Callithrix jacchus: one gene and its partners. The protein of the gene in region 1 purifies or fractionates together with the protein of each later gene. This does not show direct contact. Links are inferred from orthologs where the notes say so. Each region holds a gene or a part of one and is shown in the gene's direction. Other genes may lie near its edges. The genes, in order: ARRB2, SRC, TCOF1, AKT1, NOLC1, MAPK1 and IGF1R.

Region 1 (3,500 bases):
AGGTTGCAGTGAGCCAGGAGTACGCCACTGCATTCCAGCCTGGGCAATAGAGTGAGACTCAGTCTCAAAACACAAAATATAGCCAGGCGTGGTGGCTCACTCCTGTAATCCCAACTACATGGGAGGCTGAAGTAGGAGAATCTCTTGAACCCCAAGGGGGTGGAGGTTGCAGTGAGCAGAGATTGCATCGCTGCACTCCAGCCTGGGCGACAGAGTGAGACTCTGTCTCAAAAGAAAAGATTATTAAAAGAGATAACACGTTTGAAACACTTGGAACAGTGCTGGGCATGGAGTACCCACCCTGTAATGTTAGCCAGCATTATCATCATCATCATCATCATGTGGCTGGCAGTGTGCTGCAGATGCCTAAATGAATAAGGCCTCTAAGGCTCACAGTCTGAGGAGGGAGGCAGCTAACTGCCCTTGTGTCCTGCCACACCACAAGTAAAACATAAACAAACTGAGCCAGGAACCCAAAACAAGGAGTGACCAGGGTCTGGGCTGGGTCAGCTTCCTAAAGGCTGGACCTTAAAAGACAAAGAGGCTTTTAAGCTGCTAAGGTCGGAGATGGGGACAGTTGGAGGTGAATGGATAGAGTCGAACTGGGCTAGGGCCTATGGTAGAAACCATTTGAGGGTCAAAGTCCAGGGTCATTGCTCTCTTATATGCTCCAGCTGTTGGAGCTGTAGACCCGATGGAAAGATGGTTAGGTCTTACCCAGATGCTGCGGCAACCTGCCCATTCGGGTGCCTGGGGAAGAGCCTGGGTGGTTCCTAGGGCAATCAGTGGCCATTACTAGGGAGGGAAGGGGACTAAGGAGGGTGGACAAGAGAAGGGGCATTTTTCCTTGCTGTCATGTTAGAAATAGGAAGGACTTTACAGGAAGAAGTGGAAAGGGGCAGAGCTGGGCAAAGCCCTGCAGCCTCAGGCAGGAGTCCTGGGTGAGCTCTGCTTCCCAGGCCTGGGAGGGACAGGGTCCTGGTGTGGGGTGCCTGCTGAGTCTGAGGGAAGCAGTGGGGTTTCCCTTTCTGTTTTGTTAGGGTCTTCAAGAAGTCAAGTCCTAACTGCAAGGTGAGTCTCCATGGCACTTATCCCTTTCACCCTCCCTGGGCCCCAACAGAGTCCAGCCTTCCCCTAAAGGATTGCCAGCCTGCCCCAAGATGATCCTCAACCCCTAGCTCCCCACTTCCTGTGACAGCTAAGAGCTGACTTCCTTCCCTCCTGAAGCCCCTTGCCACAGAGGCTGCTCAACCTGAGCCAGCCACAGGGCTGGGTGGGGCAGACCCGGGTCCCCAAGCAAGACCACAGAGGAGGAGGCCAGAAGCAAGCCATGTGCCTACAGCCCTCCTAGGGGCCAACCCAAGGTGCGCCACCCTGGGAAGAGTTAACAGCCCCCACCCAGGCTGTGGCCTGCTTATCCTAGAGCCCCTTGAGGGGACATAGTGAGGGTGGCAGCTGCTCTCTAGCTGGCTGGTTGGGCTGAGTTCTCCCTGAGGATCCAAACACACACACACACACACACACACACACACACACACACACGTACCTGGCTGGTTGGGCTGAGTCCTCCCTGAGGATCCAAAGACACACACTCATGACACACACTCACAGACCACACATGCATGCAACACACACACACACACACCCCTAGCTGGCAGAGTCCTCCCTGAGGATGCAAATACACACATACATCTGGCTGGTTGGGCTAAGGACACACACACACACCTGCCCACCTGGCTGGTGGGCAGTGGTGTGCAGAGATTAGGGAGCAGTTAAAAAGCCTAAAGGTCTGCTAGCCTGAGAAATGCCGCCACCCTCCTTTTTAACACTACTGGGAAAAAACCTGGAGAAACTCCCTATAGCCCAGCTTGGGGATCCTGGGGCAAGGCAGTCAGTATTGAGGGCTCTGATGCCCTGGCACCATCCTCCCCAATCTTCCTGTGACCCCTTGACATCCTCAGCTGACCGTGTACTTGGGCAAGCGGGACTTCGTAGATCACCTGGACAAAGTGGACCCTGTAGGTAAGTTTCCCCAGAAAGGGGCAACTCATTCCCCAAGAGGGGAAGAAGTTCCCAGGCCCAGGACATGGGGGAGCTGCCCTTTCAGGAAGTGAGCTGGTGTGTCCCCCTCCTAGATGGCGTGGTGCTTGTGGACCCTGACTACCTGAAGGACCGCAAAGGTACTGGCTCCAAGTCCAGGGACCCAGGGGAAGTAGAGGGTAGGGAAGTGAAATGGGCTGGCACTGGAAGGGTGCCCAGAGAGAGGGAGGCTGGAGGTAGAAGCCAGAAGTAGGATTTGAGCAAGTCTCATGCTGCAGAGGGAGGGGCCTTGGCTGCTAGGTACCAGGGGACTGGGGAAGGGAGGTCCTGACCACTCATCTTGACTTCCCTTGCCAGTGTTTGTGACCCTCACTTGCGCCTTCCGCTATGGCCGCGAAGACTTGGATGTCCTGGGCTTGTCCTTCCGCAAAGACCTGTTCATCGCCACCTACCAGGCCTTCCCCCCAGTGCCCAACCCGCCCCGGCCCCCCACCCGCCTGCAGGACCGGCTGCTGAGGAAGCTGGGCCAGCATGCCCACCCCTTCTTCTTCACAGTGAGGACGCCCTCTGTCCTCTGAGGGCAAGGGGTCTGGGACTGTGTCTGGGGTGGGGGTAAGGTACCCATTATGGGCAGATCTGGAAGAAACAGTGAGGCAGGAACCCTGGATCCACCCCCCTTCAGGGTCCCAGTGCATTCAGGAAGCCCTAGATTCTCTGCCTCGTCTCTAGGGCCCCTTCCTTCTTCCTTTCTCCTCCCCAGGAGTCCTTTCTCCAGCCTCCTGAGATTTGGAGGAAGATCTGGGGACTTTCTGGAAGAACTGAAGTCTTCCCTTTCCTCTGCCACAGATACCCCAGAATCTGCCATGCTCCGTCACACTGCAGCCAGGACCAGAGGATACGGGGAAGGTATGGGAGGAATGGCTCTGAGGGCTCCTAGGGCAGGATGGGGCCAATAGGAGCCTGGAGGCACCGCTGAGCCAGAGGGTAAACTGTCAGGATGCCAGGGTGGGGCCAAGGTCAGCCAGTGTCCCCCATGGAAGTGGGGTGTGTATGATGTGGTGACTGTGCATGCGTGACACTGCCGCCTGCTCTCTGGACCTGCGTGGATCTGGGGATGGGGCTCCCCTTGCACGACCATGATTTAGTCCCCCAGGTCGTCAGACCACAATGACAGAAGAGTCCCTGCCCAAGTGGAGGGAAGGGAGAGGAAGGAAGGGGAGCGATGCTGGTGGGAGCCCTGGGTGAGATGTGGCCTTTTCTCCCCCTCCCGAGGCCTGCGGCGTAGACTTTGAGATTCGAGCCTTCTGTGCTAAATCACTAGAAGAGAAAAGCCACAAAAGGTGAGGGAAACAACCTCCTCTGTGGCATAGAGGGGGGTTTCCTCCCCGTTTCCAGGAGCCCAGGCCCCGTGGGAGGGAGGAGTAGGGGTTTGGGTGTGTGAGGACTGACCCCCTCCTGCC
Region 2 (3,500 bases), about 73 Mb from region 1:
AGTGGGTTTACTGTGTGCTCTCACCATAATGGGGATAGCAACAGCCCCATCACCCAGAAAGTTCCTTGGGCCCTTTGCAGACAGCACCCTCCAACCCCAAACCCAAGCACCCACTGATATACTTTGTCATTATCAATCTGTTTTGTTTATTCAAGAATTTCATACATGAAATATTTTACATCTGGGATGCATCCTTTTTTTTTTAACTTTTTAAATTTTAAATGTTTTAAATTTTTTTGATACAAGGACTCACTCTGTTGCCCAGGCTGGAGTGCAGTGGCGTGATCACAGCTCAGTGCAGCCTTGACCTCCCAGGCTCAATTGATCCTCCCATCTCAGCCTCTCAAGTGGCCGGGACTATAGGTGTACCCTACCACGCCCAGCTAATTTTTTTTTTTGTTTATATCTTTTGTACTGTGTAGCTCAGGCTGGTCTCAAACTCCTGGGCTTAAATGATCTTCCCGCCTTGGTCTCCCAAAGTGCTGGGATTGCAGGCAGGAGCCACCGTGCCCAGCCTGAGATGCGTCCCTGTGGCATCTCCCAGCAGTTAGTTCCCGTTGTCGCTGAGCAGGACGCCATTGTCCGCATTAACACAGTTTACCTGTTCACCTGGAGGTGCGCATCTGGTCGTTTCCCAACCTGCTTGCCTTTTGAGTGACAAGCACTTTATTGAGAGATGAGTTTACATAAAATCTGTTGTGCTGGTTATAGCAAGGCTAGCCACCTGGGAGGACAGGTTTGGGAATCACTGCATCCTGGCAGAGGGACAGGGCAGGAACTGGAGCTGGGTCTTTCTCTGCCCAGGGAGTTTGCTGGACTTTCTCAAGGGGGAAACGGGCAAGTACCTGCGGCTGCCTCAGCTGGTGGACATGGCTGCTCAGGTTAGTCAGCCCCTCCCTTCTCCCCACACCCTTGGTCCTCAAGCACCCAGACCCATCTGGTGCAGCCAGTTCTGGCCTCTTGAGTGCCCCCTCCAGGAAGCCTGCCTTGATTACCCCCACACTCACTGATCTTGCCACACGTATTTACCAGGTCCACTTACAGGCACCCTAAGCGGTGGTTCTGGGCAGCAGAAAGCCCTTACCTGGGCATCAGGGGTCACTGACTAATATCAGGGGTCACCTTTATAGAGATGACAACTGAGGCCCGAGGTCCCCTGTACATCAGTACAACTGATGTACTCAGTTGTCATCTCAATAGTCATTTAGTCACTCAGCAGACATGTGTTTGTGCTGACTTTAGGCAGTGCTTGACAAGCATTTTTCATCAGGAGTGACGAGGATTGGCTATTATTCCCATTGGATGGATGAGAAAACAGGCTCAGAGAGGAGACTTGGGCAGCAGGCAGGGCATGGCACTTGTCCACTTGTCTGTGTCTGGGTCCGCTGGGGCCTCTTTCCATGGTCACCTCACTTTCCTGGCTGCATCTGATCTCGGGCCTCCCCATTGCCCTTTGCTCTCTCCCCTCTGCCCCTGTGCTCCCTCCTCCTGCGGAGCACTGCTCCTGCTTTTGATGCCAACAGCATTTACCGTGAACTGACCTCACTTGCCTGAAGAAGCATGGGATGGTGGGGGAGGGGTGGATGGCTCTCCAGCCCTGGGTGCCCTGTGGTCCTGGGAGGGCATGGGTGGCACCTGAGCTGGGCTCCCATGGTTTTGCCTGCAGATCGCCTCTGGCATGGCATATGTTGAGCGGATGAACTACGTCCATCGGGACCTTCGTGCAGCCAACATCCTGGTGGGAGAGAACTTGGTGTGCAAAGTGGCCGACTTCGGGCTGGCTCGGCTCATCGAAGACAATGAGTACACAGCCCGGCAAGGTGGGCAGGGGCTTCGTGGCACGGGGCGTGCAGCCTGGGGCAGGTCACGTCCTCTCCCAAGCCTCAGTTTCCTTATCTGTCATTCCTCATGGTGCTCACCTGGTGGAGCAGTCACGACAGGTCAGAGCTGCCCTGACCTTTTTCGTTCCTGCAGGTGCCAAATTCCCCATCAAGTGGACGGCTCCGGAAGCTGCCCTCTATGGCCGGTTCACCATCAAGTCGGATGTGTGGTCCTTCGGGATCCTGCTGACGGAGCTCACCACAAAGGGGCGGGTGCCCTACCCTGGTAAGAAGGTCCTCCCGGCCCGTCTCTAGTCCCTGAGCCCTTGCCCTGGTGGCCTTGGGTAAGACCTGACTCCTGCTGGGCCTGTTTCCCCATCCATACAACAAAGAAGTTGAGCACCTGATCTTAGGCTCTCCTGATGGTCCATGCTCTCAGCTTCGGGGACGGGACCTACCCATGGTTGCACCCAACCTGGCCTAGGCAGGAAGCCCTCACCATCCTCCCCATCAGCTTCCCGCACCCCACTTTCCTTACTGGAGCCAGGCTTCCCATGCCTCACTCTGCCCACAGGGATGGTGAACCGAGAGGTGCTGGACCAGGTGGAGCGGGGCTACCGGATGCCCTGCCCGCCCGAGTGTCCTGAGTCCCTGCACGACCTCATGTGCCAGTGCTGGCGGAAAGAGCCTGAGGAGCGGCCCACTTTCGAGTACCTGCAGGCCTTTCTGGAGGACTACTTCACGTCCACTGAGCCCCAGTACCAGCCTGGAGAGAACCTCTAGGCACGGGCGGGCCCAGACTGGCTTCTCGGCTTGGATCCTGGGCTGGGTGGCCCCTGTCTTGGGGCTCGCCCTGCTCTGCCTGCCTGCTGTTGGTCCTCTCTCTGTGGGGCTGAATTGCCAGGCTCGAGGCCCCTCCCTCTTTGGCGGCATGGAAGGGGCTTCCGGACCTAGGGTGGCCTGAGAGGGCGGCAGGCGTGTGAGACCAGCACAGTGACTGTCCAGCGCCCACTCTAGCCACACGCCCCTCCTTGCACTCCCTCCTGGAGCTCTGTGGGTCTCTGGAGGAGGAACCGGGAGAAGGGCTGGGGCCGGGCCTGAGGATGGCCTTTTCCAGCCTCAGCCTACTCCACTCACTGAACTCCTTGCCCACTTCCGTGCCACCCCCAATCTGTCTCGAGAGCTGGCCAAAGAGCCTTTCCAAAGAGGAGCGATGGGCCCCTGGCCCCGCCTGCTCACCATCCTGCCCCTTGCCATCCATTCTGGAAACACCTGTAGGCAGAGGCAGCCGAGATGGATCCTCTGCCGCTGCTCCCAGGCTGGGCAGTAGGATGAGTACCCCTCAAACCCTGCCTCCTTAGACCTGAGGCACCTTTGGAGATCATCACTTCCTTGCCCCCATTTCACTGATGGGGAGACAGTCGAGAGAGGGGATGTGACGTGTCCAAGGCCACAGAGCAGTTCAGAGTGGAGGCGGCTTGGAACCGGTGCTCCCTCTGTCTTCCTCAGGAACCAACAGTTCGTGGGAGGCATCACGAAAAGACTGGGACAACCCAGGGGACAAGGGATCTGAGGATGCGTTCGAGATGGCAGAATCGCACTGCCGCTGCCTGCTCGGCCGGGCTGTTGGGGAACAGCATGGAGGCAGATGTGGGTCTGAGCTGGGAGTCAGGGTGAAAG
Region 3 (3,500 bases), on another chromosome or scaffold:
CCTGGGCTCAAGTGATCCTCCCACCTCAGCCTTCTGAGTAGCTGGGACCACCAGTGCATGCCACCATTCCCAGCTAATTTTTTTTTAACATGAGACAGTCTCGTTATGTTGCCCAGACTGGTCTTGAACTCCTGGGCTCAAGCGATCTTCCTGCCTCAGCCTCCCAAAGTGCTAGGATTACAGGTGTAAGCCACCATGCCCAGCCGAAAAGACTCTCTTCTAAACCACCTATCTGTGCAAGTCATGAGTTTGGGGAGAGCTGGGCCCAAGGAGGACCCTTACTGTGCTGGGGGTTAATTGTGGCTTTCTCTTTACCTCTCTGCAGAAGTGTTTCCTGGCTCAGCCCGTAACCCTTCTGGACATCTATACACACTGGCAACAGTAAGTGGTGGGGCTGACAGGGTGGAGTAGGGACACCCCAAGCAAATCAGTGTGGAATAAGCTGGGATACCTGTCTGATCTAAGATCTGTCCCTATAGCTCACTGTGGACACCATTGTTGCCTCCAGAAAGCCGGTCACAGCACATGAATGGGGATATCTGGTAGTGGGAGGGGACATTGAGAGCTGTGATCTCTTAAGAACAAGAGCTTCTAACCAGCTTGTTTATTCAGTTGATCAGCATTTATTGATTACCTCCTAAAAGCCAAGTCCTGTTCTTACTTAGTATGCATGTATTGTCACAAGTGAGACAGACATGGTTCCTTCTTTCCTGCAGCTGACATTGTAGTCAAGGAGGCATGAGTCAAAGAATGAAACAAATGAATGTAAAATTACGGTAGTAGTAAGGATTACAAGAGAGAAGAACCTGTTGCCACAGCCACATAAATGGGTAAGCTTCCAGACACTTCATTTGGAGGTCCAGGGGAAGCTTCCCTGAGATGATCTTTGACTTGAGAGCTGCAGGAATTGGGAGAGTGAGCTATGCAGTAGGTATAGAGCAGCAATAGGTACTATGCAGTAGGTACCTGCCAGCGGAAATTGCTAATGCTCAGTCCTGTGGCTGGTGGACAGTACAGGTGAGGCTAGATTATCGCGTGGATAGCCATGCGAGGCCTGGTTATCCATGGTGAGGAATTTTGTCTTTACCCAAGAGCAGCTGGGGCCATGGCAGGGTGAGAAAGTGAGCTGACTGCTCTGCACCATGTTGAGACTAGTCGGTGGACACCGTCATCCAGGCAAGAGCTGATGGGGCTTGAGACGGGGGTAACAGGGTAGACAGTGGATTCTAGGAGTCACAGGGATGAAACCAGGGCCCATGGATGGATGGGAGAGGAAGTATCTGATTGACTCCATGTCTGGCTTATGTATCCATGCATAGAGCTTGAAGGGAAACCAGTTTGCAGGGAAAGATTTCAATGACATGTTGAGTGTGAGATGCCTTTTAAACATGTAAAACTTAAGTACTCTTCAAGGAAGGGGGACTCATCCAAGGATACATCAACAGAGGAATGGCTTGAAAATGGAGAGAGTAATTGTGTTCTCATCAGGCACTGGCCTGACCACAGCTGAATAAGGGAGTGAAGGACGTGAAGATATATCCCCTGAGGAATGGTGCAGAGTATAGAATTGCCTTAGATGACAAGGAGGCAGGTGAGGGATGTGAGGCACCACTGCACATCTTTGAGGACCAAGAATAGTGCATTCTCTGAAGCCCTGGAGACAGAAGTGGGCCCCAAATGGACCTGCTTTAGGAAGACAGGTTTCAGCTTCTGAATATACGGACTTGCTCATCAGAGCTGTCTAAAAATGAAGTGGGCTACAGTGGAGGTGGTGAGCTCCCTGTCATTAGAGGTTTGTAAACAAAGGAATGGTGTGGAAGGGATTGCAGCCTCTAGTAGAGAGCTAAGATGGTTGAAAACCCTGCCAGCCCTCAGTTCTTGGCTGTCCTCTACTGCTGAGGAGGGCTTAGAGCACAGGGCCTCTCTGACTTGCCCAGATGTGTGAGTGTTACTTGTAGTACTTCCCTTCCCCAAAAAACTGCTTTAGTGAGCTGTTCTTTACACCCTTCCCCGCCACCGGCCCCTTCGCTGGGTGAGGGGTGCTGAGTGGGACAAGGACCTTACACCCACCACAGTCAGCCTAGCCTAGCAACTCCTGGCAGAGTTCAAATCCAGCAACTAGCTGTATTGCCTTGAGTGGGTTTCTTGGCCTCTGTGAGTCTGTGTCTTCATCTGTAAAATGGAAATAATGATAGCAATGATCTCATTGCATTGTTAGGGTTAGACACAGTGGTCTATATAAAGTACTAAAAACTACTGATTGGAGGCTTTCCCCCCTGCCTCAGTATTTATTGAGCACCTACTACAACCTAGGCAATATTATTGATGTAGCTGGGAACAAACCAGAGTAAAATTCCATGCTCAACATTTTTATTGGGGGAAAAGAAGCAGAATAAATTGATAACATGTTAAAATGAAACCTGTTTTTAACAGGTGAATCCTGACAAGTGGCTTTCCTGGGAACAAGGAACCCAAGTAGCATATCCCAAGCTATGACAGAGCAGTGTCCATCACAGCTGGGAAACCTGGGGCCTAGACAGTGATTCCCTGGGATGGGGGTCAATGGGGATGTTACTTGCAAGTCCAGGGGCTCAGCTCTCTAGGTGCTTATCCTACCCATGCCCCAGACTTTGTTTTCCCTGAGCAAGTCACTCAGTTGTTTAGTTTTTGAGACATTTGTTAGACACTGAGGATGTTGTAGTGAGCTGCCAGCAGCCCCGCTCCTTGGGCCTTTCTGTGTAGGGGAAGAGTCTAGGAAGTAAGTAAAATAATAGGAGGTAGAGAAAAGCTCTGAAGAAAACGAAACAGGACGACAGGGCAGAGCATGCCTTGGGGGCGGCGGGCAATCATCGAGGACCTCTCTGGGGAGGCTGCATTAAAGTTGAGACATGAAGGACAAGGATGTGGGCAGTCTTCCCAGAAGGCACAGCACACACAGCACGTTCTGCAGGAGGAAGCACCTGGGTGGTTCTGTGAGGTGCCTGCATGGGTCAGTTCCTATTACAGAGACTGATAGCTGCTGCAACTGTTGTATAACATTATCTGGCATTCCTGATTATTTTCAAGACTAATCAAGAATTGTGAAAGCACTTTATGAATTGAGGGAAAATGCGGAATACAGAATTGTGTCTATACGGTGTTTTCACCACTGTTTACATTCCATGCACATTGCCATTAAGAGCCAGAAGGATGCGGGAAGGTCTGTGTAGTCAAACCTTGTGGAGTTGTTCTGTCGCCCAGTTGGTATAGACAGTCACCCTTGTCCTGCAGAACCTCAGAGCTTGGCCGGAAGCGGAAGGCAGAGGAAGATGCGGCTCTACAAGCTAAGAAGACCCGAGTGTCGGACCCCATTAGCACCTCAGAGAGCTCGGAAGAGGAAGAGGAGGCAGAAGCTGAAACCACCAAAGCCAGTAAGAGCCTTGCAGCTTTGGGAACAGGCTATGGAATATTGATTGTTCTAGGGTAGAGTCTACCTCCAGCTTCTTCTCTTATCACTAGAA
Region 4 (4,028 bases), on another chromosome or scaffold:
CGCGCGGTGGACTGGTGGGGGCTGGGCGTGGTCATGTACGAGATGATGTGTGGCCGCCTGCCCTTCTACAACCAGGACCACGAGAAGCTCTTTGAGCTCATCCTCATGGAGGAGATCCGCTTCCCACGCACGCTCGGCCCTGAGGCCAAGTCTTTGCTGTCAGGGCTGCTGAAGAAGGACCCCAAGCAGAGGTGAGGGCCACCCACCCCAGCTGCAGGCTCTGCCTCCACCCCTCACCCCCAGTCTGCAGCTGCCCCTGCGCGAGGGGGTCCTGGCACCTTCCAGACCACGCTGATGGCCATAGCTTGATGTCCTTGGCCAGGGTTGATCTGCCAAAGCCCCAGGCCCAGGCAGAGTGGCTAGACAGGCCAGGGCATTTGAGCCTCTGTCCCCAACCCTGCAGCCCCCACACCCACTTGGGACACCCCTGCCCTGCTGTGAGACCTGGGGTGCTTCGCTACCCACAGCTGCTCAGATGCTGCACCACTGGCTCCCCTCCCCAGCCCCAGAATGCCCTGTCCAATGGGCCGTGTGTTACAGCAGGAGGAAGGGGCCTGAGCCTGAGGCCTGGGGGTGGCAGTACCAACACTGTGGCCTTGTTTCCTGCCCACAGGCTGGGTGGGGGCTCCGAGGACGCCAAGGAGATCATGCAGCACCGCTTCTTTGCCGGCATTGCGTGGCAGCACGTGTACGAGAAGAAGGTGCGGCCAGTCCCCGCGTATCCACACGCACATGGCACGCTCGTGGCATTCCCACACACTCATGCCCTCACCTTGGGAGCCTGTGCAGCCCCCCTGCACCAACCCCAGCGCCTGGTGCGCAGAGGGTCTGGCACTGCTGAGTTCGTCAGGAAACTGACCTGGTCCTTCTCACTTCCTCCTGCCCCTGGAGGTGTGTCACACCAAGTACCAGCCTTAGGGGTCGCTTCCCTGAGGCTGCGCAGGGAAGGCTGGCTGGTGGTAGACCAGGAGTGCTGCCCCTTGCTCTCCACCAGTTCCTCCTGTTGTCTGACCTCAGCCCCTTCTGCTGCAAGGAGAGCCCAGCCCTACTCTCTGGCTGTGCAGGGGCAGTTCTGGCACTGTCCAGAACTGTAGACTGGGGGAGTCCACCCTGGAAGGAGGGAGCTCTTTCTGACTGAGTTGCCATCTTGGAGGCTCATCTTTCAGGGACCCCAGGAGCCCTGGCCCTCATCTTGGCTGATGGGTCTGCAGCTGGGTTCAGAAGCCCACACTCTGGGTGCTGGGTGCCATCACCAGGTGTGCTTCTGACCACTTCCCAGCCTGCCCCTCCCTGAATGCCTGTCCTAGGCCACGTGCAGCTGGCTGGGCTGGGCAGCGCTGGGACCCAGCTGGGTACCTGTCCTCCCATCAACACGGTGCCCCGGCCTTGGTCCCAGTTCCTGCCCTGAGGCCTGCCATCCTCCAGCCCTGCCCTGCCCTCCAAGGGAATGGTGGGGCCTGGGCAGTGCTCAGCCTCTGCCCATCCTTGCCCAGAGACTTTGCTAATTGACAGTGGACAGTGCTGGTGCCCAGGCCAGACTCTGAGATGGGGCAGTGCTTGAGGGGGTCCTTGACTGTGGGACCCGAGGGGCTCTGTGGCAGCTCCTTCTTCACTCTTGATCCTGGGTCATCAGGAGTCCTCTCTGCAGCCAGATGCCAGCAGGCTGCCATCCTGTGGTCCCTGAGCCAGGAAGGAGGCAGGGCGGGCCCACCCTCTGCACCTTGTTCCACAGTCTCTCTCCTTCCCAATTTACAAGAAGACCAATAAGAAAAACGAGAAAGAAAAAGGAAATAAAGTCATCACCTACTGGTGGCAGAGAGGCCCTCTGAGAGCTGGGCTGCACTACCTCCTGTCGCCTGTGGGGGCTGCTGTGAGGGCAGCTTGTGACTCCGCTGACCAGGGTGTCTTCGTGCTCCCACTCCTCATGCCCCTCCCTTCCAGAGCTGCCTCTGTGGGGGGCGGGGGCCGGTGGCTTGTCGCTTCTGACATCCAGGCTGCCTGGAGACCCCCTGGTGATCCGGCTGCTGTGAGGGGCTGGGGATGCTGGGAGTGGGTAGCAAAGCTCATGACGGTCCCATCTGCCCACCTCTGCAGCTCAGCCCGCCCTTCAAGCCCCAGGTCACATCGGAGACTGACACCAGGTATTTTGATGAGGAGTTCACAGCCCAGATGATCACCATCACACCACCTGACCAAGGTGAGGGCCACTGTGCCTGCCCCGCCCGCTCCCTTTTCTCTCCACTCAGAGGCCTGCAGTGTTCTGCTTTTTTGGCTTCAGATCTTTTAATACCTAAATTTTTAAAAGATTCCTTTGGAGAGTGCCAGTGTTCAGGGTGGAAGGCAATGCTCCAAGGGCCCAGGTCCCCGGGTCGAGCTTTGGGGCCTCAGTTTCCTGGTGGCATGGCAGCCTGTTGGCTGTGCTTTGAGAGGCTGGCTCCCTACTGGAGCTGTGGGCAGGTGGAGGTTCGGGGAGGTGGGGCCCGAGTCTGAGCTGTCTACACCCACAGACGACAGCATGGAGTGTGTGGACAGCGAGCGCAGGCCCCACTTCCCCCAGTTCTCCTACTCAGCCAGCGGCACGGCCTGAGGCAGCGCGGATGGCACTGGACCAGTTTGGAGGGATGGAGAGGCAGCCTCGTGCCGTGATCTGTGTTGAATGGGTTTTATTTCTTGGTGCATTTGAGAGAAGCCTGCCGTCCTCCCGAGCGCAGATGGAAAGATGTTCTGTGCTGTGGGCGGCACCCTCCCTCGCAGCGGGGTAGGGAAGAAAATTGTCCTGCGGGTTTTAATTTATTTCATCTGATTTGTTCTCTGGATGTGGCCTCAGCCCTCAGAACAATCCAGTTTTGCAGCTATGCGCAATGTGGGGTGGGGGGCCGGGCAGGTCCTTCCGCTGGGTCCCCTCACTCCATCAGCCAGCCGCACGGGCTGTCACCAGCTGTCTATCATCTCTCTGTGGCCCTGGGCCTCACTTCAGCCTGGCGGCACCAGACGCAACCTCACTGTGGCATGCCCGGCACCCTCCTGGGGGAGGCAGGCACACGGCAGCCCCCAGCACCAGGGCTGTGTCTCTGAGGACGTCGGAGGCTGGGCCCCCTGGGAGGGGACCAAGGATGGGAGATGGGCCAGGGTTTGCCCAGTCGGACAGAGGGGCAAGGTTTCAATTTGTTATTCTGTATCATGTTCAAATGCATTTTGGGGGTTTTTAATCTTGGTGACAGAAAAGACCTCCCCCTTCCCCCTTCTGTGTCAGAGTTCTTGGTGACTGTCCCACCAGGAGCCTCCCCTCAGATGACCTCTCCTTGATAGCACTTGACCTTTTCGACGCCGAACCTTTCCGCTGCCGCCCCAGGCCCGCCCTGACTCCCTCTGGGGGGTGACCGTCCCTGGGCCCTCCACACCCCTCCCAGCCAGACGCTGCCGCTGCTGCTGCACCATGGCATTTTTTTACGACATTCAACTTTAGTATTTTTACTATGATAATATGAAACTTGCCCTCCAAATTCTTCAATAAAAGTTGCTTTTCAAGTTTTTGGCTCACTTTGCTGGGTAGAGGAGTGCGTGGCCAGGGAGGGAGTGGGGAGCCCTAGGAGGGAACCAGCATCCTCAGAGCAGCTGGTCTTGCTCCTCTCCTCCTGTGGGCACCACCACCCCAGCAGGTCTGGGGACAGGCTTCGTGGTGGGCTCAGGGAGTCTGCGGGCCTGTGGCGAGATGGGAGGCCCTGGCTGGCCCTGCCCCCTTGGAACCCACCTCTTCTTCCCTTGACCCCACCCAGCTTCACCCCAGCCAGGAAGGAGACCACTGGACTATGGGCATCTGCCCCCCAGCCTCAGCTGTGGTTCCCCTGGGTGGGGCAGTGAATGAGACCCTGACCACCAGGAAGGCTCGGAGCTAGGGCCAAGATCATGGCCTGGGCCACAGTGGAAGAAGGGCCAGGAGGCCTGAGTGGCTTGTTCGAAGTTGGACAGAGCGGGAGGAGGGGCTGCGGGGGGGGAGGGAGGAGGGGCTAGGCTGGGTCCCAGGTTGC
Region 5 (4,247 bases), on another chromosome or scaffold:
CCAAGTAGCTGGGATTACAGGCACCTGCCACCATACCTGGCTAATTTTTTTTTGTATTTTTAGTAGGTGCAAGGTTTCACTCTTGGCCAGGACTGTACTCAAACTCATGACCATAGTTGATCCACCCACCTTGGCCTCCCGAAGTGCTGAGATTACAGGTGTGAACCACTGTGCCCAGCGTTTTGATTTTTGAGAGTATCTCACTCTGCGGTCCCGGCTGGATTGCAGTGGCAGGATCATAACTCATTGCAGCTTCCATCTCCCTGGTTCAGTAGATGCTCCTGCCCCAGCCTTCCAACTTGCTGAGACCACAGGTGCATGCCACTACACCTGGCTAATTTAAAATTTTTTTGTAGAGATACAGGGTGGTGTGTGTGTGTGTGTGTGTGTGTGTCTTAACTACGTTGTCCACGCTGGCCTCTAACTCCTAGGCTTAAGGGATTCTCCCACCTCGGCCTTCCAAAGTGTTGGAATAACGTGTGAACCACTGTGCCTGGCCAGTTTTATATAGGAGAGGGGAGTGTTCCATGAGGAAGTGGATCCTTATCCTTCCTGAACTGCATTAGTGGGAGGTAGCCAAGGGGTAGTGGGTAGGATTGAAAGGATTGCTAACTGCTAATATGATCTGAAGTATTGCAGAACTTGGAATTCACTTGGTAGGTCTGAGCACTGATATTGGAGTTACTCATGACAAAGGGAGAGTTTGAACTCTGATATCGGAGGAAGAAGGGTTATTTTCAAGTCTCTTCAGCTTGAAGAGGTGTGTGATTCAGGTTTGGTGTATGACATCTTTCCCCTTCGTGGAGCTGACAGGCGGAATATAAAGGGAGTGGGAGGGGCGGCTTGGGAAATCAGTACCTTCCACCCCCACGACGGATAACTTGAAGGATGCTCTTCTGCGTAGAGACGAGTCTGGAGGCTGGGATGGTATCAGAGAGGAAAGGGCCTCCCTGAGTGTTGGAGGCAGTGAAGATGAAGGGCGAGAATCCATCGGCAGCGCTAATGCGCCAGTTGGGGCGGTTGGGAGATCTTGTGACCAAGTCTGGAGAGGGTAAGGACTGTTAGAGCCCGCTTGTCCACTCATTACTCTGGAATCCGAATCCTGGCAGGGGCGCGGGAAACCGCTGCTCTGAGAAAAGGTACCTCCCCCAGAAAGACAGCGCGGGAAGTCCCAAGTTTTCCCGCCACGCCGAGGGCGTGACCTCTGACGTCAGAGCCCCGCCTCTACAAACCGGCGGCTGGTGGGCTCCGCCCTTGACCAAGATGGCGATACGCGTGGGACCGGAAAGAGCTTTTAGATTTCCCGTCTACCCTACCTCTGAAGCGGAGGTGGGACTGCCCTGTGGAGCCCCACCCTTTCCGCTATGCGACCGCGCGGCGCAATGACGTAATCAGGCCCTCCCACTGCCCCTGTTGGGTTCCTGAGTCGTGCTGCGTCGACAACGGTAGTGACGCGTTTTGCCCGGAGCATGGCGGACGCCGGCTTGCGCCGCGTGGTTCCCAGCGACCTGTATCCCCTCGTCCTCGGCTTCCTGCGCGATAACCAACTCTCGGAGGTGGCCAATAAGTTCGCCAAAGCGACGGGAGCTGTGAGTCCCGGGCTTGGGACGGGAAGCGGGCTGGGTCATGACCACAAGGCTTTAGGCCCTGACGTGCTTGGGTTTCCAGGTGGGGAAGACTGTGGGGTCCGCCAGTCCAGTGTCTGCAAGGCCTTTGCGCCGACCGCTCAGCAGTGACCAGAGAAAGCCTGGGGGCCTCGGTCGCTCGTCTTCCACCAGGTCTTACTAGATAGCGCAGAGTCTTGTTGCTTGTTTCTTGTGAGCCATACAACAGCGGCAACGTGGGAGCCTCGTGGCCCGAAGTCACATGGCTAGCATAGTGCAGCTGGGAGCTAGCGCCTTGTCCCACTGAGGACGTTGGTTCTTAGGCGTCTGGTTCTTCTGGGGGGCTTTTCGTTGGCTGAGGTAAAGCGCGATTTGACCTTACCCTCAATCGCATTTACTGGGATTCAAAAGCAAGTGAAATTGCTTTAGAATAAAGATTGGGATTTTCGTTAGTAAAGAAGAAAATGAATGAAAGTAGGAGCAGAGTTTTGTTTTGAGTTACACTGATGAGAATTGAGCGTCATATACAGCCCTACCAAGCAGGCATGGTAGTGGGCTTGGAGCTTTGGCTAATAGAATCCAACCTAAGTTTGGGACCAGGCTCTGTTACTTTTTAGATATGTGACCCGGGCAGCTTACTTAACCTTTCTGAGTCTTTCTACAGGGATGTCATCATCCACTTCATAAGATTTTGGTGAGTTTCAGTAAGATTATGTGTAAGAGTAGCAATCTCAGTGCTTGTGCCGAGGAATCTTCTAAAAGTGAAAGTTGTACCATAGTTACGGCAATTTAGGATGCGCCAACCAGGAATGTGAAAGATATTTAATCTCCATCAACGGATATCCCTGCATGGAAGACACCTTGAGAGAAAAGAGAGGGGGTCCTTTGCAAGGATGATAGCAGGACTAAGAAGGATGGCTTGCACTTTTAGCAGATCAGGCTGCAAAAGCAAAGAATCAGATCAGCCTCAGAAAGAACTTTCTTAAGCTGGGACAGGCTGTCATGTGATGTAACTGCTTTCGTATTGGAACTGTTTAGAGTTGACTGTTAAGTGACTGCAAAGAGTGCTTTCACAGTGGACTGGATGGAATTGGACATTTAAGAATTAGGATTCTGAATGGTTTTATGTGAGAAAAACTAATCTTTTGTGAAGAGTTTACAAAGGTTCAGATACTTAGCCCTTTACATGCATTTTTTCTTTTTGAGACGGAGTCTGGCTCTGTCACTCAGGTTGCTCACTGCAGCCTCTGCCTCCTGGGTGCAAGACATTCTCCTGCCTCAGCTTCCCAAGTAGCTGGAACTACAGGTGCTTGCCACCATGTGTGGCTAATCTTTTTTGTATTTTTAGTAGAGACGGGGTTTTGCCATGTTGGCCAGGCTGGTCTTGAACTCCTGACTTCAAGAAATCCACCTGCCTCAGCCTCCCAACTGCTGGGATTACAGGCATGAACCACCATACCCGGCCAGCATGCCTTCTCTTATCCTCTCAATAACTTAAATGAGATGTGTAGTATTATCTCCATTTTATAGAGAAGAAAATAATCTCAGGGAGATTAGGTAATTTGTCCTAAGATAAGTTCACATGTATACTGACTGATCCTGAACTCTTTTGTACCACAGAGTCTCACTCTGTTGCCCAAATGGGAGTGCAGTGGCGCAATCTTGGCTCACTGCAACCTTCGTCTCCCAGGTTCAAGCGATTCTGTGCCTCAGCCTCCTGAGTAGCTGGAATGTCTTGGAGTTTTTTGCATCAGTTAATGTTCTGTATCAGTGTAATTAATAATTGAATGAAATTCTTTTTTTTTTTTTGCTGTCATTGTTCTTGAGACAGGGTCTCTCTCTGTTGCCCAGGCTGGAGTGCAGTGATGTGATCACAGCTCAGTGCAGCCTCAAACTCCTCAGCTCAAGCAGTCCTCCCATCTAAGCCCCCCAAGTAGCTGGGACTACAGGTGTGTGCTACCACACCCAACTAATTAAAATTTTAAAATATATATATTTTTTAAGAGATGGGGGGTCTCAGCTGGGTGCAGTAACTCACACCTGTAATCCCAGCACTGTGGGAGGCTGAGGTGGGTGGATCACCTGAGGTCAGGAGTTTGAGACCAGCCTGGCCAACATGGTGAAATGCTGTCCCTATTGAAAATACAAAAAATTAGCCAGGCGTAGTGGCAGGCACCTGTTATCCCAGCTACACGGGAGGCTGTGGCAGGAGAATCACTTGAACCTGGGAGGTGGAGGTTGCATTGAGCCTCATTGCACTCTATCCTGGGTGACAAGAGTCAAACTCCATCTGAAAAAAAAAAAAAGAGAGAGAGAGAGTTGGGGGTCTTCCTGTCTCGCCCAGGCACTCCTGTCCTTAAGTGATCCGTCTGCCAAAGTGTTAGGATTATAGGTGTGAACTACTGCGCCTGGCCTGGATGCAGTTTTTTTTTTTTCTGAGATGGAATCTTGCTCTGTCACCCAGGCTGGAGTGCTGTGGTGCGATCTCCACCCACTGCAACCTCTGCCTCCTGGGTTCAGCGATTATCCTGCCTTAGCCTCCCTAGTAGCTGGAATGACAGGCGCATGCCACCACGCCCAGCTAATTTTTTGTATTTTTAGTAGAGACGGGGTTTCATCATGTTGGCCAGGCTGGTCTTGAAC
Region 6 (3,500 bases), on another chromosome or scaffold:
GCTGAGATCGAGGCATTGCACTTCAGCCTGGGTGACACAGCGAGAATGCATCTGAAAAAAAAAAAGGAAAAAAATTTAAATCATCTGGGCGTGGTTGCATGCACCTATGGTCCCAGTCACTTAAGAGGCTGAGATGGGAGGATTTCTCAAGCCCAGGAGATAGAGGCTGCAATGTACCATGATCACACCATTGCAGTCCAGCCTGGGTGATAGGGTGAGACCCTGTCTTTAAATAAAATAAAATAAAAAACTTTTAGTGAGAAGAGTGGCATTGTTTTTATTTTTGCAAGTCTGTTTAATGTCTGGCTTACAGTTGGATTCTCATCTGGTTTGGCATTCAGTCTGTCAAATATGTTGTTTTGGTTTAAGTTAATAAGGAAAACTTCACACAGGTATGTAGCTGATAAAAGGAGGGAAATTTTAGTAGTTTTTTCAGCTACTTATGGCTGTTCTTTGATACTACCCCCAATTTGAACAAGTGGTAGTTTCTTAAAGGTTAATTGCATTGTGGAATCTGAAATCATATCAGTGAACTCTTTTTTTTTTCTTTTTTTTTTTTTTTTTGAGATGGAGTCTTGCTCTGCCTCCCAGGCTGGAGTGCAGTGGTGCAGTTCTTGGCTCAATGCAGCCTCTGCCTCCTTGGCTCAATGCAGGCGATTCTCCTGCCTCAGCCTCCTAACTAGAACTACAGGTGCCCAGCTAACTTTTGCAGTTTTAGTAGAGATAGGGTTTCACCATGTTGACCAGGCTGGTCTCGAACTCCTGACATCAGGTGATCCACCCACCTTGGCCTCCCAAAGTGCTGGGATTACAGGCGTGAGCCACTGTGCCCGGCTGAGAATATTTTTTTTTTCTTTTTTATTGCATTTTAGGTTTTGGGGTGAGAATATTTTTAATAAGAGATTGGTAAAATATGATGGAGCTAGCACATACTTCCCCCCAACCCAGAAATCCAGGTTTTTAGACTTTTTAAATTTTTTTTCCAGCTCCAATTTATGACAATTCTGAATCTGTCTCTCAAATTGTTTCAAAAAAGGACTGATGTATAATTTGGAAATTCTAATCTAACAAGTTAATCAACTGTTGTTTTTTTGAGATGAGTCTTGCTCTGTCACCCAGGCTGGAATGCAGTGGCATGCTCTTGGCTCACTGCAGTCTCTTGCCTCCCAGGTTCAAGTGATTCTCCTGCTTCAGCCTCCCATGTAGCTGGGATTACAGGCACCCACCACCATGCCTGGCTAATTTTTTTGTAGTTTTAGTAGAAACGAGGTTCTACCATGTTGGCCAGGCTGTTCTCAAACTCCTAGCCTCAAGTGATCTGTCCGCCTTGGGTTCCCAAAGTGCAGGGATTAGATATGAGCCACCACGCCTGGCCCATGTTAATCAACTTTGAAGAGAAAAATAAAATCACATAATCTTAAACTGTTCAGCCTCTCATAAGAAAGCCAAATTATTATTTGTTTTTCCATGCTGCTTACTTGTCTGTCTGAGTTTTAGAGTCAACGGAGAAGTTCAAACTCCCATCAGCAATGCACCTGTCACACAGGAAGATCTCATCCTGTATGACCAGATATCATTCTCAGTCTTTTCTCTTTCTCCTACAGGGCTACACCAAGTCCATTGATATTTGGTCTGTAGGCTGCATTCTGGCAGAAATGCTTTCTAACAGGCCCATCTTTCCAGGGAAGCATTATCTTGACCAGCTGAACCACATTCTGGGTAAGGTTCCCGAGCCCTTCAGTAGCTAGATTTACTCACTTTGCCTGCCTACAGCTTACATCAAAGTCACTTCATTAAATTAAGAAGAGTTCTAATAACTCTTTAGCCTGTGGTAGGTGTGAATTTTTAGCCTTCCCTTATTAAAAATGTTAAGCAAATAACCTCCCAACCAATGTCTTTCCTGGACACTGACCTTAAAAAAAAAAAAAAAAAAAAAGTCTTAAGGACTTCTGTGTAAAAACGTAAGAGAAAGGTAAGCTTTGGGAGTGGTGATAAGACATTAATTACCAGGGTTCATTCTGACCCACAGTTAATGGTGTGTAGTCATTTGCCTTTGTCTTGATAACTAACAGCTAATTATTTTATCTGATAGGTATTCTTGGATCCCCATCACAAGAAGACCTGAATTGTATAATAAATTTAAAAGCTAGAAACTATTTGCTTTCTCTTCCACACAAAAATAAAGTGCCATGGAACAGGCTGTTTCCAAATGCTGACTCGAAAGGTAAATGTTATGTCGTTGATTAGTTTTTTTCTAAGGCTTAGCTTCGCATTTATTTGTTCAGTTGTTAGGTCACTAGCCTGAAAAGTGAGCCTGTAGCTATTGGATAATGCTTTCTTTAGTGCTCACTCTGAATTACTGTCTCTCCCTTTTTTTTTTTTTTTTTTTGGAAACAGTGGCAGTGCAGTAAGGGAGCCTGGTAATGACCGTCTAGTTCTCCACCTTTTGGTTTCTTTGTTAATTTTAACTTGCACTAAAGTCACTTTTTTTTTTTTTTTTTTTTTTTTTTGAGATGGAGTCTTGCTCTGTCACCTAGGCTGGAGTAGAGTGGCCCGATATCAGCTAACTACAATCTCCACCTCCTAGATTCAAGCAGTTCTCCTGTTTCAGCCTCCCATGTAGCCGGGCTTACGGGCACCCACCACCATGCCCGGCTCATTTTTTTGTATTTTTAGTAGAGACGGTTTTCATCATGCTGGCCAGGCTGGTCTTGAACTCCTGACCTCATGATCTGCCCTCCTCAGCCTGTCAAAGTACCAGGATTACAGGTGTGAGCCACCATGCCCAGCCTAAGGTCACACTTTTAGGGAAGTCTAGGACCCTGCAAACAAATTACACCTTTTTATCTTGTCACTTGATAGTTTTTAAAGTCAGGTTTATTGAAGAATAATTTACACAGAATAAAATTCATACTTTTTAGTTGTGTGGGCCTATTGAGTTTTAGTAAACATAAACTGTCATGTAACTACCACCACAATTGAGATACAGAATATTCCCATCATCCTCAGAAGTTGCCTTGTGCCATTTGTAGTCGGTTGTCCCTCTCTAACCCATCTCTGGCAATCACTGATCTGATACCTATCCCTATAGTTTTGCCTTTTCCGGCATGTCGTATTAATGGAATCATAGAGTATGTAACCTTTTTATGTCTAGATTCTCACGTTCAGCATACTGCATTTGAGATTTAGAAAAATTCATTTCATTGCTTGTGTCAGTCTATTCAAGAAATGGTGCTGGAACAATTAGACAACCATATGCAAAATTTGCAAAACTAAAAATGGACCATAAACCTAAATATAAGACCTAAAATTATTAACCTTCAAGAAGAAAACAAGAGAATCTTCATGACCTTAGGTTAGGTGGAGATATTTTAGAGCAACTGTAAAAGAAAATAGTTACATTCCATTTTTATCCTTTTTTTTCAGGTTAGCTTTGTTAAATAATTGTATTATCCTTTATTCCTTATTAATGCATACCTGTTAAATATATTAGGCAGCTA
Region 7 (3,500 bases), on another chromosome or scaffold:
AACCATAAGATCTGTGACCAGATGGCCTGAGTGTTCTGATGACACAGCCAGGATTGCCCAGCCAAGCGTGGTGGTGACACTGTTTGCCTCTAGGTAGAATTGAAGATCCACTCTGAGAGCCAGAGGTTGGGGGCGAGAGTTTGTGTGTCCATTCTGTCACTTGCAGAGTAGAGAAAGCAAGATAATGAGGAAGGACATCCCCGTGTTATTCACAAATTCGTATCCAAGGGGGCCGAAGAGCTTCCTTTATTCCACGGTTAAGATGCTGCAGTTACCCTTACTCAAGTTGCAGAAAAGACGAAAGAGGTAAAAGCACCTAAAAGCCACATTTCTCTCTTCCTTGCAGACCTGACAGGAAGCGGAGAGATGTCATCCAGGTAGCCAACAGCAGCACGTCCAGCCGAAGCAGGAACACCACGGCCGTTGACACCTACAACATCACAGACCTGGACGAGCTCGAGACGGAGTACCCCTTCTTTGAGAGCAGAGTGGATAACAGGGAGAGAACTGTCATTTCTAACCTTCGGCCTTTCACACTGTACCGCATCGATATCCACAGCTGCAACCACGAGGCTGAGAGGCTGGGCTGCAGCGCCTCCAACTTTGTCTTTGCAAGGACTATGCCTGCAGGTATGGTATGACCCAGCTGGCCCCATTGCCACGTCCCTCACAACCCAGTGAAAATGGTTTTTATGGTCACAGGGTCTGACACCCAGGGCCAAGACCCTTAGTGTCAGGCCTGGCTGCTAAATGGTGTGTGATCATTGGCAGGTGGCATGGTAGACCACCTGCCCAGGGAACAGAGCCCTCGCTCTCCTAGTGACACCACTCCCAGCTAGTTTCTCCATAGAACATGCTGGGAGCAGGGAGCTCTCTGCAGGGCCCACCCTCCGCCTGCTACTTGGTTCACAGCATGCACTCCCACTGCCCTTTGCCCCTCTTGTACACAAATAAATTGAGCTGCCCCCTCCTGAGCTCTCACATATTCAGAGATGTCCCCAGTTAGTGGCCTTGGTCCAGAGTAACCACTGCCCCTCAAGGTTAACTCCTGGAGTAGGCTCCAGTCTTGCTTACTTAGTCTTTGGCTTTCCCTTGTCCGTAGACATTGCCTGTCGCTCGGGCATTGAAGGTGGTTGCCTTCAAAGACAGAACAAGCACTGCCTTGTTCTTGTTTCTTTAGGAGGCCTCAGGCAGTAGAAAGAGCATGGAGGTGATGGGTATCTGGGGCATGGGTTCCTCCTGGCACAGTTCTGGCACTGAAGTGCATGGCAGCATGCCTTGAGGCAATTGTCAGGCTTCCTGCCTCAGTTTCCTTAGCCCTCCTAGGAGAGACATAGCCAGCTGACCCCTCCAGTACCTTTTCCAGCTGTAACTTTCCGTGACCTTTGCTTATCACCTCATTGTTTATTGGTTCAAGAAGCAAAATCAAGAGAGGAACCACTGCAAGGTCAACCAGCAGCTAGAGGAATTGATGCCGGCAGGGAGGCTTGCCCTGCTCTTGGCAGCAGCCTCCCAGCAGCTTCCTCCCAGGCCAGGCTTGAGCCATCCTTTGTGCCTGCGTAAAAACTGCAGTTTCCATGTGTGGCCGCGGGCCACCGAGGGTCCCTGTCATAGCCGGCAGGGCCCCGTGCCCTGCTTCTGCTTATTCAGCATCTCTTCAGGGCTGCTTGGGTTTGGTAGCTTCACAAAGCTTTCTTTTTTTCAAGTGGTAGGCACAGAATAGAAGAAAGTTACTTAGGTTGTCAAGATTTTCCTGCTCTGCTTGGCAACAGGTTTTTTTTGTTGAGGGACTGGGGAGAAAGGAGAATCCTGTGGCATCTTGAGACGTGCAAGTCATGGGGTTGGTGTGATTCTGAACCCTCCTCTATGCTGTGTGTGTGCAGCCTGCTCAGGGGCAGGGTACGTGACTGCTCTCCATAGTCCTGCCCGCGTGGATGGGGGGTTATTCTCAGGTCAGCCCAGTGTTGGCCCCCCTCCCTGGGAACCCAAATCCAACTCTGTCACTTGTTTAAATTGTACAGACGGAGCAGATGATATTCCTGGGCCAGTGACCTGGGAGCCAAGGCCTGAAAACTCCATCTTTTTAAAGTGGCCGGAACCTGAGAATCCCAATGGATTGATCCTAATGTATGAAATAAAGTACGGAGCACAAGTTGAGGTAGGACTGGGGCGGTGGCCTGTGCCTGCGTGCATTTCCATCCGTTGACAGCATACGCTACCTTACTGCACAGGTTACTTCCTGGTTAGCGTAGGATTTAATAAAATATGCACCAAGTTGCTGAGGATTCAGGTCTTTCTACCCACTCCATATACTCCATAAGGAGTACTCCACAGTGTGCAAAGAACTAGGCTGCTCTTTGCCCTCAAGAAACGATTTCATTGTATAAGATAACCTTGTGGCATAGGCCAGATCAGCTCTTAATAACTTTTAATCCTTCTGGAGTTCTTGGTTACAAAAACGTTTGGTTAAAGCTTTTGGGTGTGCTTAAAGCTCCTTGAAGATGACCTTTTAAGACTTGATTTCTTCCTCTTTGCTGACTGTCGGGATCATTGTTAGGTGGGACGTCAGATCAGGCAGCTGGAGTCCCCAGTGCAGTGAGTTCAGTTGGCAGGCCCCAGATTTCTCCTGCGTTTATGGAAAATTGACATGTATGTTTTATTTCCCCAGGATCAGCGGGAATGTGTGTCCAGACAGGACTACAGGAAGTACGGAGGGGCCAAGCTAAACCGGCTAAACCCGGGGAACTACACAGCCCGGATTCAGGCCACGTCTCTCTCTGGGAATGGGTCGTGGACAGAGCCTGTGTTCTTCTATGTCCAGGCCAAAAGTAAGGCTTGTGGAGGGAGAAGAAACGTGGGAAAACTGAAAGCGAGCTGGTCCGGGATGAGGACAGCCCGAGTGTCTGTGGCTCTCGCACTTTCTGTTACAGTCGAGTTGCCGGCTTTCAGAAGGGTCATGCTTAGGTGCCGACAAACACAGGCACCATGTGTGACAGCTTGGGCAGGGCACATGCTGAGCTTTGGGTCCCTACCTCATGTGGCAGGCAGGGAGAGGATCTGAGCCTCTCTTCTGAAATGGCACAGTCACTGGAGAGCCAGAGGAGACCGTTGGTTTCAACCTGGCTTATATGCAAAGACCTTTGTTTTATTAAACGAAAGACATTTTACAAAACTTTGAATTGACCATTCCACCTCCTGCTTGGTCAGTAAAGCTAGATAGGGCTCAGATTCAGGGCTTGAAATCCTATGGGGTTAAAGGAACTTCAGAGGCCATCTGGTTCAGCCTGCTGCAGGGCAGGAATATCCATGAGAGAATCCCAGACCCTGCATTGCTCTTTTACAGCCCCCATATGCATTGGAGATACATGATGCTCACCTTTGGTGCAGACTGAGGAATGGGAGTTTATGCTCAAGTCATTAATAAGACAGAATTCTTAGGCTGTTCCATTTCCTAGAAACAGAGCCTCGTTTTGGGGTCTGTGATCTATGTAACAGCAACC

What was found.
Region 2: the proteins of ARRB2 (region 1) and SRC purify together in Homo sapiens (affinity purification with western blotting; 4 studies listed by BioGRID and IntAct, with this or other methods). This does not show direct contact. The link is inferred for Callithrix jacchus from reciprocal best matches to the Homo sapiens genes ARRB2 and SRC.
Region 3: the proteins of ARRB2 (region 1) and TCOF1 purify together in Homo sapiens (affinity purification with western blotting; 4 studies listed by BioGRID and IntAct, with this or other methods). This does not show direct contact. The link is inferred for Callithrix jacchus from reciprocal best matches to the Homo sapiens genes ARRB2 and TCOF1.
Region 4: the proteins of ARRB2 (region 1) and AKT1 purify together in Homo sapiens (affinity purification with western blotting; 4 studies listed by BioGRID and IntAct, with this or other methods). This does not show direct contact. The link is inferred for Callithrix jacchus from reciprocal best matches to the Homo sapiens genes ARRB2 and AKT1.
Region 5: the proteins of ARRB2 (region 1) and NOLC1 purify together in Homo sapiens (affinity purification with mass spectrometry; 5 studies listed by BioGRID and IntAct, counting the BioPlex papers as one, with this or other methods). This does not show direct contact. The link is inferred for Callithrix jacchus from reciprocal best matches to the Homo sapiens genes ARRB2 and NOLC1.
Region 6: the proteins of ARRB2 (region 1) and MAPK1 purify together in Homo sapiens (affinity purification with western blotting; 3 studies listed by BioGRID and IntAct, with this or other methods). This does not show direct contact. The link is inferred for Callithrix jacchus from reciprocal best matches to the Homo sapiens genes ARRB2 and MAPK1.
Region 7: the proteins of ARRB2 (region 1) and IGF1R purify together in Homo sapiens (affinity purification with western blotting; 4 studies listed by BioGRID). This does not show direct contact. The link is inferred for Callithrix jacchus from reciprocal best matches to the Homo sapiens genes ARRB2 and IGF1R.

The regions. Positions count from the first base shown.
Region 1 is NC_133506.1:106,272,378-106,275,877, forward strand, and holds part of ARRB2 (beta-arrestin-2), read left to right. Parts: intron 1-1,040; coding exon 1,041-1,071; intron 1,072-1,961; coding exon 1,962-2,022; intron 2,023-2,135; coding exon 2,136-2,180; intron 2,181-2,397; coding exon 2,398-2,594; intron 2,595-2,886; coding exon 2,887-2,946; intron 2,947-3,312; coding exon 3,313-3,380; intron 3,381-3,500. UniProt on the Homo sapiens protein: Functions in regulating agonist-mediated G-protein coupled receptor (GPCR) signaling by mediating both receptor desensitization and resensitization processes.
Region 2 is NC_133506.1:32,839,217-32,842,716, forward strand, and holds part of SRC (proto-oncogene tyrosine-protein kinase Src), read left to right. Parts: intron 1-804; coding exon 805-881; intron 882-1,666; coding exon 1,667-1,820; intron 1,821-1,974; coding exon 1,975-2,106; intron 2,107-2,394; coding exon 2,395-2,603; 3' UTR 2,604-3,500. UniProt on the Homo sapiens protein: Non-receptor protein tyrosine kinase which is activated following engagement of many different classes of cellular receptors including immune response receptors, integrins and other adhesion receptors, receptor protein tyrosine kinases, G protein-coupled receptors as well as cytokine receptors.
Region 3 is NC_133503.1:49,076,971-49,080,470, forward strand, and holds part of TCOF1 (treacle protein), read left to right. Parts: intron 1-325; coding exon 326-381; intron 382-3,270; coding exon 3,271-3,410; intron 3,411-3,500.
Region 4 is NC_133509.1:139,635,017-139,639,044, reverse strand, and holds the end of AKT1 (RAC-alpha serine/threonine-protein kinase), read left to right. Parts: coding exon 1-191; intron 192-613; coding exon 614-701; intron 702-2,094; coding exon 2,095-2,197; intron 2,198-2,507; coding exon 2,508-2,587; 3' UTR 2,588-3,528; downstream 3,529-4,028. UniProt on the Homo sapiens protein: AKT1 is one of 3 closely related serine/threonine-protein kinases (AKT1, AKT2 and AKT3) called the AKT kinase, and which regulate many processes including metabolism, proliferation, cell survival, growth and angiogenesis.
Region 5 is NC_133513.1:95,104,652-95,108,898, forward strand, and holds the start of NOLC1 (nucleolar and coiled-body phosphoprotein 1), read left to right. Parts: upstream 1-1,447; 5' UTR 1,448-1,469; coding exon 1,470-1,589; intron 1,590-4,247. UniProt on the Homo sapiens protein: Nucleolar protein that acts as a regulator of RNA polymerase I by connecting RNA polymerase I with enzymes responsible for ribosomal processing and modification.
Region 6 is NC_133502.1:193,755,549-193,759,048, reverse strand, and holds part of MAPK1 (mitogen-activated protein kinase 1), read left to right. Parts: intron 1-1,604; coding exon 1,605-1,719; intron 1,720-2,092; coding exon 2,093-2,224; intron 2,225-3,500. UniProt on the Homo sapiens protein: Serine/threonine kinase which acts as an essential component of the MAP kinase signal transduction pathway. MAPK1/ERK2 and MAPK3/ERK1 are the 2 MAPKs which play an important role in the MAPK/ERK cascade.
Region 7 is NC_133507.1:11,008,560-11,012,059, forward strand, and holds part of IGF1R (insulin-like growth factor 1 receptor), read left to right. Parts: intron 1-346; coding exon 347-630; intron 631-2,021; coding exon 2,022-2,158; intron 2,159-2,668; coding exon 2,669-2,828; intron 2,829-3,500. UniProt on the Homo sapiens protein: Receptor tyrosine kinase which mediates actions of insulin-like growth factor 1 (IGF1). Binds IGF1 with high affinity and IGF2 and insulin (INS) with a lower affinity. The activated IGF1R is involved in cell growth and survival control.